3 linked regions of the Canis lupus familiaris genome follow. The protein of the gene in region 3 interacts with the protein of the main gene of each other region in a pairwise test. Links are inferred from orthologs where the notes say so. Each region holds a gene or a part of one and is shown on either strand. Other genes may lie near its edges. The genes, in order: KCTD6, ZBTB33 and CTNND1.

Region 1 (4,376 bases), on a different chromosome or scaffold from region 3:
GGTTATTCCTCAAAAAAATTAATCCAGAATTAACATGATCCAGCAATGCCACTTCTAGGTTATACCCCAAAGAATTAAAAGTAGGGGCTCAAATAGGTATTTGTGAACTAATGTTCATAGCAGCATTATTCACAAATCTAAACATTGAAAACAACCAAGAGGTCCATCAACAGAAAAATGGATAAACAAAATGGGATATATGCATACAATGGACTATTACTTAACCTTAGAAAGGAATGAAATTCTTTTTTTTTTTTTAAGATTGTATTTATTTATTCATGAGAGACACAGAGAGAGAGAGAGAGAGAGAGAGAGAGAGAGAGGCAGAGACACAGGCAGAGGGAGAAGCAGGCTCCACGCAGGGAGCCTGATATGGGACTCAATACCCGGGTCTCCAGGATCACACCCTGGGCTGAAGGTAGCATTAAACCGCTGAGCCACCGGGGCTGCCCAGGAATGAAATTCTGATACATGCTACAATATGGATGATCCTCCAAGACATTACAATAACTGAAACAAGCTAGTCACACTCACTCACACACACAAATACTGTATGATTTCACTTACATGAGGTAGAGCAGTCCAATTTATACAGATGGAATGGTCATTGCCAGGGCTTAGCGGAAGGCGGAAATGGAGAGTTACTGTTTAATGAATAGTTTCCTTTTGGGAAAATGAAAAGGTTCAGGAGGGGTACCTAGCTGTAGAGCCACCTGTAGAGCGTGCAACTTACGATCTCAGGATCATGCCTGATCCTTATCCTAAATTCATGCCCCACACTGGGTGTAGAGATTATTTAAAAGTAAAAAGAAAAGAGAGAAAGTTCTGGAAATGGATAGTGGTGGTGATTGAACAACAATATGCACATATTAAATGCCAATGAACTATATGCTTAAAGTGGTAAATTTTATGTGATATATATTTTACCACAATAAAAACCAATCTAATTAGAATACGAACAAAAGAACAGACACTTCATCAAGGATGGATGGCAGAAAAGCATATGAAAAGATGTTTAATAATTAACCATTAGAGAAATGTAAATTAAAGTCATGAGGGACACTGCTACACATGTATTACAATGGCTAAAATAGAAAATATTGATAATATCACACACTGGCAAGCATTTAGTGCAACTGGATGTCTCATACTTTGCTGGAGGTCATGTAAAATGGTATAGCCACTCTGGGGCAGCCTGGGTGGCTCAGTGGTTTAGCGCCGCCTTCGGCCCAGGGTGTGATCCTGGAGACCCGGGATCAGTCCCATGTCGGGCTCCCTGCGTGGAGCCTGCTTCTCCCTCTGCCTGTGTCTCTGCCTCTCTGTGTCTCTCATGAACAAATAAAATCTTAAAAAAAAAAAATAGTATAGCCACCGTGGAAAAACACTCCAATATAATCATACTGCTCGGTATTTACCTGAAGAAATGAAAACTAATGTTTAAAAAGCCAGTGTTCATTGCAGGTTTATTGGTAATAGCTAAAACTGGATACAAACCAAATGTCCTTCAAGGAGTGAATGGATAAACATGCAACCACTTAGAGATATAAAGAAACGTTGATACACGCAACAACTGGAATGGATTTCAAGAGCATTAGGCTGAGTGGAAATAGCTAATCTCCAAGAGTTACATATTGTACGATTCTGTGTTGAAATATTCTTGAAATAACAAATTATAGTGATTGAGAACAGATTAGTGGTTGCCAGGAGTTAGGGGTGGAGGAGGTAACAATGAGGTAACAGGAGGGAGGTGCTTTGTGGGGATGGAACAATTCTGTATTCTGGCTGTGGTAGTAGTTATGTGAATCTGTACGTCTAATACAATTCTATAATACTACACTCCTCCTACCCCTGCCAGAATGCATATAAAAACTGATGAATGGGGGATCCCTGGGTGGCGCAGCGGTTTGGCGCCTGCCTTTGGCCCAGGGCGTGATCCTGGAGACCCGGGATCGAGTCCCACGTCGGGCTCCCTGCATGGAGCCTGCTTCTCCCTCTGCCTGTGTCTCTGCCCCTCTCTCTCTCTCTCTCTGTGACTATCATAAATAAATTTAAAAAAAAAAACTGATGAATGCTGTATAAAGTCTCTACCCGAGTTAAGAGCATTGCACCGTTATCAATTTGGGGGATTTGACAATGTACTATGGTCATCCAAGATATTGGGCAAAGATAGTTGAAGGTCACATGGATGCTCTTTGCACCAGTTTCACAATTTCTTGTGACACTTAAACTCTTTCAAAAGAAAAGAAAAGAAAAGAAAACTTAAAGAAAGAAAGGAGGGGTGCCTGGCTGGCTCAGAAGAGCATGGGACTCTTGATCCCAGGGTCATGAGTTTAAGCCCCAGGTTGGGCATAAAGAATATAAAAGAAAAAAAAAAAAAAAAGAAAAGGAATAAAGTATTGATACACTTAACGACATGGATGAATCACAAAAACATGTTGCTGAGCGAGACGCAAGAATGATAGAATTCCCTTTACGTCAAGTTCTAAAACAGGCAAATTAAGTTACGGTGATGGCGATCAGATCTGTGGTTGCCTGTGGGGTGATGTGTGGGGAACGATCGGGAGGAAACGTTGAGGGAACTTTCTGAGGTGGTGGGGGAATGTGCATTTTACTGTGGTCGAGGAAGCGAAAAGCTCTCTTTAACACATTTCGCTTGAAATGACCAACCAAAAAACAAAAAAAAAGATTGAAAATTCTGGATGAAGGACTTTCTGACGACTGACAACCCGAAGTGACTTGAGGAAAAGTGGAGGTAACAGTCATCACGCGGGAGGGTTCCTGTGAGAATTACAGGAGCTGGACAGCACTTACTACGATGCCCGGCACACAGTAGGCGCTTCATGCCTCGATGAACACTCCGGTTCGCATTCCAGGGAGCAACAGACGGACAGCACGGTCCGGCCCGGGGACCACCGGGCTCGTTCAGAGCGTGCGCAGGCGACACTTGGCGCCCTACGGGTTTCAGTGCCCGCAAAAGGCTGACCCAACTCTGAAGGTCCCCGCAGCCTCAACCTAACGTTCCTCAGAACCTGCCTTCCGGGCACCGCGCCTCAGGCAGCACCGCTTACAGACGCGTCCCGCCGCGCAGCGCGCACCGCAGCAGCCGCCCGCTCCCGGGAAGTTGATTGGCCCCGGCCCCAGAAACAGCGGTAGTACCGCCCCACGCGCCACCTAGGCCCCGCCCCTCGGCCCCTCACCCGGCAGCGGATGGGCGGGGCACGCAGGCGCCGCGCGCTGCCATTGGCCTGAGCTGGCGCGGGAGGCGGAGCCTGAGGCGACTGCGGTCCTGCGGTGTTGTCATTCGGCGGCGGCTGGAGGACACGGTCAAGATGGCGGCGGTGTCTGGCCTGATGCGGAGACCCCTGGAACAGGTAGGCAGCGGCATGCGTGCCTCCGCGTGGTCTCTGCCCGCCTTGCGCCCCCTCTCAGCGTCCTCTCTCTCTCTTTTCGCCAGGTGTCGGGGTTGCTGAGGAGGCGCTTCCACCGGACGGCGCCGGCGGCGCTGCAGGTAGGTGGCCTGGGCGCTAGCCCGAATCCCGGGAGGGACGCGCCTGCGCCGTGGGGACAGGGACGGCACGGGCCCTGAGGTCCACGGGTTCCCACATCCTGCGTGGGACTCCGAGTGCCTCTGTTGCGACCCAGCGCCGGACACACCAGCAAGTCGCCCCGGCCAGGCTCACTGGAATCTGTGGGCGATCTGAGGAAACTAGACCTCGCGCTTCCTCCCTCAACCGCCCCATTTACATTTTTCAAGTAGAATATACATAACCAGATTTACCATTTTAAAGTGTATATTCAGCGGCAGTACTTCCGTTTACTATGTTGTGAGACCATGACCACCATCGGTCTTCAGAACTTTATCACCATCACACACAGAAACTCTCCACCCCTTAAACACGAACGTCCCATTTCCCTCTTGCTCCCGGTAACCTCTTTGGCACTTTCTGTGCCTTTGAATTTATCTATTCTAGGTGTGTCCTGGAAATGGAATCCTGCAGTGTTTGTCCTTTTATATCCGGTTTATTTCACTTAACATATGTTTTCAAGGTTCATTCATGTTGTAGCATGTGTCAGAATTTCATTTCTTTGTTTAAGGTTGAATAATATTCCATCTTATGCATATATCACATCTTGTTCCTCCATTCTGTCTGTTGATGGACATGTGGGTGTTTTCACCTTTGGGATTTGTGAATAATGCTGCTAAGAACACTGGTGTGCAAGTATCTGAGTCCCTGCTTTTATTTCTTTTGATCATCTCTAGAAGTGGAATTGTTGGATCATATAGTAGTTCTGTGTTCAACTTGAGGAATTTCCTACCCCGTACCCCCTCCTTTTTTTCTTTTTTCTTTTTTTTAACTAGAGGACTCTCAATCTGT
Region 2 (4,227 bases), on a different chromosome or scaffold from region 3:
AAGAAGTACTCTATCATTCAGAATGTAAGCTGCGGCAACATTAAATAGTGTATTCAAGTTTTAACTGAAGTTTGGCATAACTTTTTTGGCTTGTATGTCAATTGTTCATACAGGCTGGTTTTTGGACCATGCATCAAATCTCATGACTTCCCCCTGAGAAGAGACAAGCGAGTTTTTAATTGATCTACAGATTTGAACGGTAATCTCTTCCTCTGAATCTCAGATACATGCGTCACCACTGAGCAGTTTTTTTAAGATTAGAATTAATTTTCTTAGTTCCACTTTTGGGTTCTGTCCTCAAGAAGACTTGAGAGTTCAGTTTTAACGGTCTTAAAACTTTAAGAAAACTCTTCATCATGAACACACAGAAGTTATTTCACCTGTAAATGAATGATTTCAGTTCAGAAAAGCTTGCTGTGTGCAATATCTATCCTATACTCTTCCTAAATTTTATCTGGTCTTTAAAAATACATTCAGGGGATCCCTGGGTGGCTCAGCAGTTTGGCGCCTGCCTTTGGCCCAGGGCGCGATCCTGGAGTCCCGGGATCGAGTCCCGCATCTGGCTCCCGGCGTGAAGCCTGCTTCTCCCTTCTCCTGTGTCTCTGCCTCTCTCATTCTCTATGTCTATCATAAATAAATAAATCTTAAAAAAAAGAACATCTTTAAAAATACATTCAAAAGCTACTCCCTGCAGCCAATGACTGAATTAGTGTTTATAAACGCTGCCAATTATTACCTTTAGACTGTCAGTTTTCTTTCTTATTTAAATTGGGGTGCCTCATCTAGATAAACTCTGAAACACCTTTTTTACCCTCTCCCCTTTCATCATCTCCTTGCCCCTTCCCCTCACCTCTCTACTCTTACAATCTCCAGAGGTGAAATGTTAGAGTGCCAAGCGAAGTCAACAGATGGTACTGTGAAAAAAAATAAGACAAAGGAAAGGTCACCATTTCTTAATGCTTATTTGCACGAAAACACGAAACATTTCAATTTGTTGGTAAAGAATTAAGTAAAGAATTATGTGCACTGGTAGCAGAACTTTTTTATACCAGATGTGTTAGTGAAAATGAAAACATAAACTTATTGGAAGAGAACAGACAATTACTCTAGAAAAAGGGATGGGGATGTCAGTAAAGAGCAATGCAGTGTACCACCCCCAGAACATTCTATTTTTGGAAGTCACAGAATATATTCCCAGTAACAAGGCCGCTGAGTTGTTGAAAATATATACATATATTAAATATATACTTAATTTTTATATATCTAATTTTTATATTTTTTTACATATATATGAACAACTAGCTGATAAGTACTTTAAGTAGAGAAACACTTTAATTGCCAACATTCTTTCCCTTTAAAGTTACCAAAATAGTGGCACTGTCGTCACAGTGCTTAAGTTATATACACGTGGAAGGTGGGGCGTCTCAAGCATCTTCGAAATTTTCAAAACTGCAGCTTAAAAACAAAAAAGTAGGCAAAAAGTCTAGAAATGACGATTTGAAACATCCGTTAGAAGGCGTTGCTCGTTTAACAGTACCAAGGAATTCCAGGTTACCACCAAGGCATTCATCAGAAAGGGTGACCTTTGGACGGCGAGCCAGCAACCAGGGCTTCCGAAATACGGGGATTTCGACAGAAGTCGCTTTTAAGTAGGTAGATAGGTTTTTTTTTTTTTTAATGCAATTTTTGTCGTTTGCAAATGGACTCTCGGAACGGGGTAATGCAATAAAACGGACGCGTCCAGGTGACACTGGGAATTGGTTTCATTTTGTTGAGATTCCTCCCGCGTCTCCCCGTCAGGGTGGGCCCAGGAACGCCACGAAGCGCTCTGCACCCACCCCCGAGACCTGCGCCCTGCCTACGGAAAAGCCATTCCGCATCCCTGTGAGACAAACCCTTGACTGAGGGCAGGTGAAGGTGGAAAAGAGAGAAACGCCATCCGCGACCGAAGCGAACCGACACGCGGCTCCCTGCGGCAGCTGAACCCCATCTTCCTTACTCCACCCCCTCTTCCCCATTTGCACCCAGCCGGCTGCAGCCGAGGGCTTTTTTTTTTTCACCCCAATTCACGCGAAAAGGCAGCTTCCTGCAAATCCAGATGGAGGTACGAACGACACGGCGAGGGCGGGGGTCCTCGGGCAAGCCGGGGAAAGTAGAAGGTGGCGAACGGGAGGGTGGGGTGCTGGGAGGGGATGAGGCCAAGCAGGCGGCATTGTTGTGCCCTGGGAAGGGGACGGGAGGGGAGGATGGGCCGGGCAGAAAAGCTCTAAATCAAAGTAGGGGCTACGAGGAGAAAAGGAGGCACAAAAAGGCAGGCGGAGGGCTAGGAAAAAGCCAAGTGGGTCCCCGCGGTGGGCTCCCCACGCGCCGGGCCTACCCGGGGCACCGGCTGCCCCTCGGCCCCTGACGGCGGAGGGGACCGCGGCGCGGCCCTCCGGGCTCGTCCCCTCCTTCGCTCCCGGGCCCACACAAAGGAAGGGCCGGAGGAGCGGAGCCTCCGACTCCGCCGCTTCCTGGTTCAAGTGAGGAGAATGCAAACGCAGGCGCGGCCCAGCGACGGAGGCAGCGGGCGCGCTCCCTCGCCCCTCCCGGCGCAGGGCCGGGTCCTCACCTGCTTCCCGGCGCCGCCGCTTCTCCTCGTCGGGCCGCGCGGACGGGTGGGAGCCCTCCAACAACCAGAAGCCAGACTCCGCGGCGATTCGGCTCCTTCTTTAAACGTCGCTCCAGTCTTGGTCGACGTCGACGCGGCTGCCGCCACCGCTGCTACAGCTGCCCCGCGCCGCCGACAGAGGGCACAGCACGGGGACGCAGCGCTGAAGTCGAAGGCGCCCTCCTCCTCCGAGCGCAGTTCGGGTCTTTCCGGAAGGGCCCGAGCTCCTAGCCGCCCCCGTTTCGGCGCCCTGCTCTGCCTTCGGCTCCTTCCGCAGGGGGCGGAGAGAGACTGGGAAGCTCTGGGAGCCTTTCGGCCCTTTCCGGAGGGCGAAAGGGTGGGAAAAAGGGAAGGGAAAGATGGGGTGATGCGGTCCGTCGCAGGCGGCGGGGACGGGAGGGAAGCGAGTCGCCTTCACCGAAATTGGGCGCAAGCTGCTAGGGCGGAAAAACTTTTCGAGACCATATGAGTTTCACTACTTTTGCAAGTTTGAAACTGCCCGATTAGCCCGGATCTTAGACGATGAGCCACCTTGAAATATAACCGGAATAAATATAATCGGGTCGAACTGATCGACTCTGGATGATTCAAGTTAGACGATGACAAGTTAAACGACATTACAGAAACTATTTTTAAGAAATAAATCTAGGACACTAGACAGTTTTCTTAATTGAATACTAGGCGATGCGGTACTATCTTCATTCCTTCGCTTCGACCAGCGTTTACTGACCACGTGTCTGAGCTATACCAAATCTCCGGCTAGGTGCCGTGGAACACAAAAAAGAGTAAACCAGGGTCTCTCCCTTCCCAAAGAGCTCATTAGATGGGTACACAAATGTCGACCAAAGTGTTTTTGTGCAAGGCGTAGAACACAGAGAAGGAAAGCGCAAACTAAATGTCCCCATTTGAGCTGTATCCTGAAACAGGAATAAATGAACACTTGCACTGTTGATTTATTATTTTTACTTTTTACGTAACATTTCCTCCCCAGGGGGTTTTAGCATCTGACACATAGTCGGTGTTCAATAATTGTTTAATGAATGAATAAATGAGTGAGCCGTGGTAATTTTTTAAAACCCTCTGCTAATACACTTCTGCCTGAGTACCATGATAAATGAAGCAACAGAATGGGTGTTTGGAGAGCAAAATCTCTCCCTTCGGGCGGGTTATTTATCGCATCCAACTACGGAGCCAAAATATTAGCTTTTTTTCGTCAACAATTAAGGCCATCCACTACCTTCATTTTCTTAAAAAAAAAAAAAAAGTATAGGATAATATTGCATCCATTCCCCCAAACGTTAATTTGCATCTGTTTACCTTTCAGCCAGAATCCCTGTGCTTCCTTCCTACAAAAATCTTGCTGAAAATGTCCGTCAGGATATTCCAGAATGAAAAAATCACTATATCTAATGTCCTTCAACCTGAAATCAGACAAGAATGTCACCATCGAACCATTCCTAATCTATTTTACATTCTCCTCGATAAAGTAAAGCCACATAGAAAAATACCACAGTGATTGTATTTTCACATGGAAATAAGAAATACACACGAAATTTCTCAGGCTCTGCAAGATTTCG
Region 3 (3,634 bases):
AACCACCAGGAAGGAAGAGACCCATTATCTGCGAGCTCATCTCACCCTCTGGCTCCCATAGGAGAGGAGAATCTATTGTGTGGAACTCTCCAAATAAGCCTGTTGTTTGTTCCACAAAACCCCTCCCACAGTCACCAAAACCTCAAGGTTAGCCAGAGCAAAGAGGCCTTGCCTCTTAGCTGTCAACATCAACCACTCAACAGCAACTCAGATGGACAAATCATATAGTAAAAATCACTATTTTTTAATATCACTGAAACAAAATGAACAGATTATATAGCTACGTTTTAAAAGGAGGCTACTGAACAGTATGTTAAGATTCCAGTTTAGTAGGGGAAAAATAAGGTCAGGGCAGATCTACATGCATAGGAAAAAAGAACTCAAAGCAAGTGCACAAAAATGTTAACCGTAGTTCTTTACCGATGGCCGCTGGTGTACCTTTCTGGGTTTTTCTAGTTTTGTAGTGAGCATGTTTAACTTTCATTATTATTTCAGTATAAGCAATTACAAAAACAACTGTCATAGCCAGGACTTTTGGTCATTCAGTTGTATTATTTCCTTCTTCCATAAGCAGAGGATCTTGACATTCTTTCCTTTGTTTTACAAATAACAAAGCTGTGCCCAGAAAGATTAAATGACTTGCTTGAGGCTATATAGCTAGTGGCAAAGGCACAACTAGAACCAGAAGTCTTCTGGTTCAGTGCTTTTTCCACTAATCATTCTGCCTTACTGTTTCCGTTTGACCTTGTATTACTCTCCTAGGCCTGGAACAGGAAGCAGCTAATGTTCTTGCTAGTCAAGCAGGTTTCCAAGTCCAGTGCCACCCTGGAATGGACCCAAGAACCAGGCCCAAATGCTCTCTTTATGTCAATTGCCAGAGCAGAGAATGACCTGGCCACCCCCACCCACCTAGGTCCAACTCCACTAATGAGGAAGTCAGAAAAGTGGACTTGTTAACAAGCAGACAGGCCACCGCCCTGGGCAGACTCCTTTGGTGATAGCTGTTATCTATCACTGCTTCAAGTCGCACCAGCTGAGGTCTGGTGCCCACTCCACGGCCCCCTCCCCCAATAAAAGGTGAGTCACATGGGAGTTGGACTAGCTGTCCAAATGATACAATACCTAAAAGGTGAATGACTCAGGCTTAGATAATGGGACCTCTACCCGGGGACTAGCCCAGATCGCTATTAACCAAACCTAATAGGAGGTAAAACGAGCACCAAGGAATTTGCTTTAGAAGGTTATGACCCCATATAGAAATTCAGCAACAGCTGCTAGGACAGCTTTAGCACCGAGACATCTGTAAATCTTCTCCTTTCTTTCTTATTATTTTTCCTTGCCTGGAAAACACTAGGTCTCTGATTTATTCTAAAGCAGGACCAGCAGCCTATGGGCCAAACCTGTTTTTGTACAGTCCCAGAACTAAAAATGGGTTTTTAATGTTTTTTAAAGGTTGTAAAAGAACGTTCATACAACAAAAATTATATGTGGCCTGCGAAGCCTATTCAAATAGTTCTATCTGGGATCCCTGGGTGGCTCAGCAGTTTGGCGCCTGTCTTCGGCCCAGAGCATGATCCTGGGGTCCCATGTCAGGCTCCCTGCATGGAGCCTGCTTCTCGCTCTGCCTGTCTCTCTGCCTCTCATGAATAAACAAAATCTTGGGATCCCTGGGTGGCGCAGCGGTTTGGCGCCTGCCTTTGGCCCAGGGCGCGATCCTGGAGACCCGGGATGGAATCCCACGTCAGGCTCCCAGTGCATGGAGCCTGCTTCTCCCTCTGCCTATGTCTCTGCCTCTCTCTCTCTCTGTGACTATCATAAATAAATAAAAATTTAAAAAATAAAAATAATAAAATAAAATAAAAAATAAAAATAAAAAACAAAATCTTAAAAAAAAAAAAACCCACAAATAGTTCTACCTGATCCTTTACAGAAAAGGTTTGCCAACCCCCAATTCCAAAGCATTCTTTCAAGGCAAACCTTCTACCAGCCCCAAAATCAATCACTCCCTTTTTCACATCACCAAAGAATCCCATATGAGTAGTAAAGTCAGAATAGGCAGCTGATTAGTGACCTTCCAGAGTGTCACTAATGTACCACCCTCAAAGGATGCCACCCCCTTTTCACTTTATAACCAAACGTAAAAATCAAAACAGAAAGTTATCAGGGCTTTGGTGAGATCAAGGTTTGTTCTTAACTTGAAATTAAAACCACCATGGGGAGGGCTGTCACATACACCTAACTGTCTACTCTGGCCCTGAAAGCCTAAACCCTCAACCCTGTCTTAATACCAAACCAGATGCTAAAGAAATTCATAGGAGCTAGTGAATATCCCATAGCACCAGGCACCAAGCTCCTTTGTGCTGCTGCTTATCACCAAAAAAGGGGCCAGATCTTAGGCAGAAATAGCAGCAAGGCTTGGCACGAAAGCAAAGGCCACTCTTCAGGATGTAGACCAACAGCCACAAGTCATTAGAATATAGGACTTCCATCATAAAAAAGAAAAAAAGAAAGTCAGTATTTAGTAAAGTCACAAAAGGGAAGACACAAGTGTCTCTGATTAAAAAAAAATACTTAGAAGAAGAAATACTTTTCACTGTCTTGGTAACACCCTTTCTTCCCTACCTGAGTCGTCGGCGAGGATCAGAGGGTGTCCCAGTCCGACGGGCAGTGCCATAATCAGACATCATGCCATAATCCAAATCATCATAGCCCATGCTACGCTGGTCATCCTCTAGCCCATAAGGCTCCGGGTGAAAACGATGCAGATCCACACTGCTCCCACCTACCCGAACCTGGGGCTGAGGCCCATACACATCCTGCCTACTAGGTGCCCGATAACCTTCCATACTGGGCCTGTACCGCTCCTCAATGCGGGTCACCCGGGACAGACTGCCATAGTTGTCACTGCTACCGGGATAACCATCTTCATAATGGCGGCTATATCCATCAGGAGGATAGTGGAAGTTCCTGGGAAGGGTAGCAGTGCCTGCTTGCCCCACATAGGGACCAGGTCCCCCATTGCCATTCTTGCGGAAGTCACGCCCCAAAGTCTGTATATAGTTGTTAGAAACTGATGAGGCATCCACAGGCAGCCCATCTGGTCCCACAGGGACTGGCTGTACTGTCCGTGTTGTCACAGTCTTCACCACTTTCTTGACCTTCACGTAAGGAAAGAGAAAAGTGAACACAATATAAGCCTAAATTCTAGACCTAAGAAATGAAACAAACCCCTATGGCAAGCTCACTTTATCTAGAAATGCCTTACATTTACCACTACCCTTTCTCTCCATCTTATTAGTGCCCAAGCAAGAAATCTGTGCTGGCAGTAACCATGACTATAAGGGAAGCTACTGGCAACCTTGTATATTTCTCTCTTCCTCATTCCATTTGATTTTCCCATATCTCTTCTATCTTTCCTATCTGGCTAGAGATCACTTTCTTTATGCCTTCACTACAGATTAATACCTTTCATCCACCCTAATTAAGTGTTTAATCCCCCACCACCACCACCACCACCAATGAAGACCTTCTCCATCATCCTAGACCTCACACAACTCTCAGCTTACTGTGGTCTCTGTGCGCCGAGTAGTTCCATCATCAGAGGTCTCCACAGAAACGACAGACATAGCTCCCT

What was found.
Region 1: the proteins of CTNND1 (region 3) and KCTD6 interact in binary tests that used the Homo sapiens proteins (3 or more experiments, as listed by UniProt). The two-hybrid records come from large-scale screens. The link is inferred for Canis lupus familiaris from reciprocal best matches to the Homo sapiens genes CTNND1 and KCTD6.
Region 2: the proteins of CTNND1 (region 3) and ZBTB33 interact in binary tests that used the Homo sapiens proteins (3 or more experiments, as listed by UniProt). The link is inferred for Canis lupus familiaris from reciprocal best matches to the Homo sapiens genes CTNND1 and ZBTB33.

The regions. Positions count from the first base shown.
Region 1 is NC_049241.1:32,435,009-32,439,384, forward strand, and holds the start of KCTD6 (BTB/POZ domain-containing protein KCTD6), read right to left. Parts: upstream 2,862-4,376; 5' UTR 2,812-2,861; intron 1-2,811. Other genes in the region: PDHB (pyruvate dehydrogenase E1 component subunit beta, mitochondrial), read left to right, coding at 3,330-3,371, 3,455-3,508. UniProt on the Homo sapiens protein: Probable substrate-specific adapter of a BCR (BTB-CUL3-RBX1) E3 ubiquitin-protein ligase complex mediating the ubiquitination and subsequent proteasomal degradation of target proteins.
Region 2 is NC_049260.1:92,972,692-92,976,918, reverse strand, and holds the start of ZBTB33 (transcriptional regulator Kaiso), read right to left. Parts: upstream 2,870-4,227; 5' UTR 2,612-2,869; intron 2,459-2,611; exon of another isoform or gene 2,378-2,458; intron 915-2,377; 5' UTR 851-914; intron 1-850. UniProt on the Homo sapiens protein: Transcriptional regulator with bimodal DNA-binding specificity.
Region 3 is NC_049239.1:38,900,422-38,904,055, forward strand, and holds part of CTNND1 (catenin delta-1), read right to left. Parts: coding exon 3,567-3,634; intron 3,159-3,566; coding exon 2,623-3,158; intron 1-2,622. UniProt on the Homo sapiens protein: Key regulator of cell-cell adhesion that associates with and regulates the cell adhesion properties of both C-, E- and N-cadherins, being critical for their surface stability.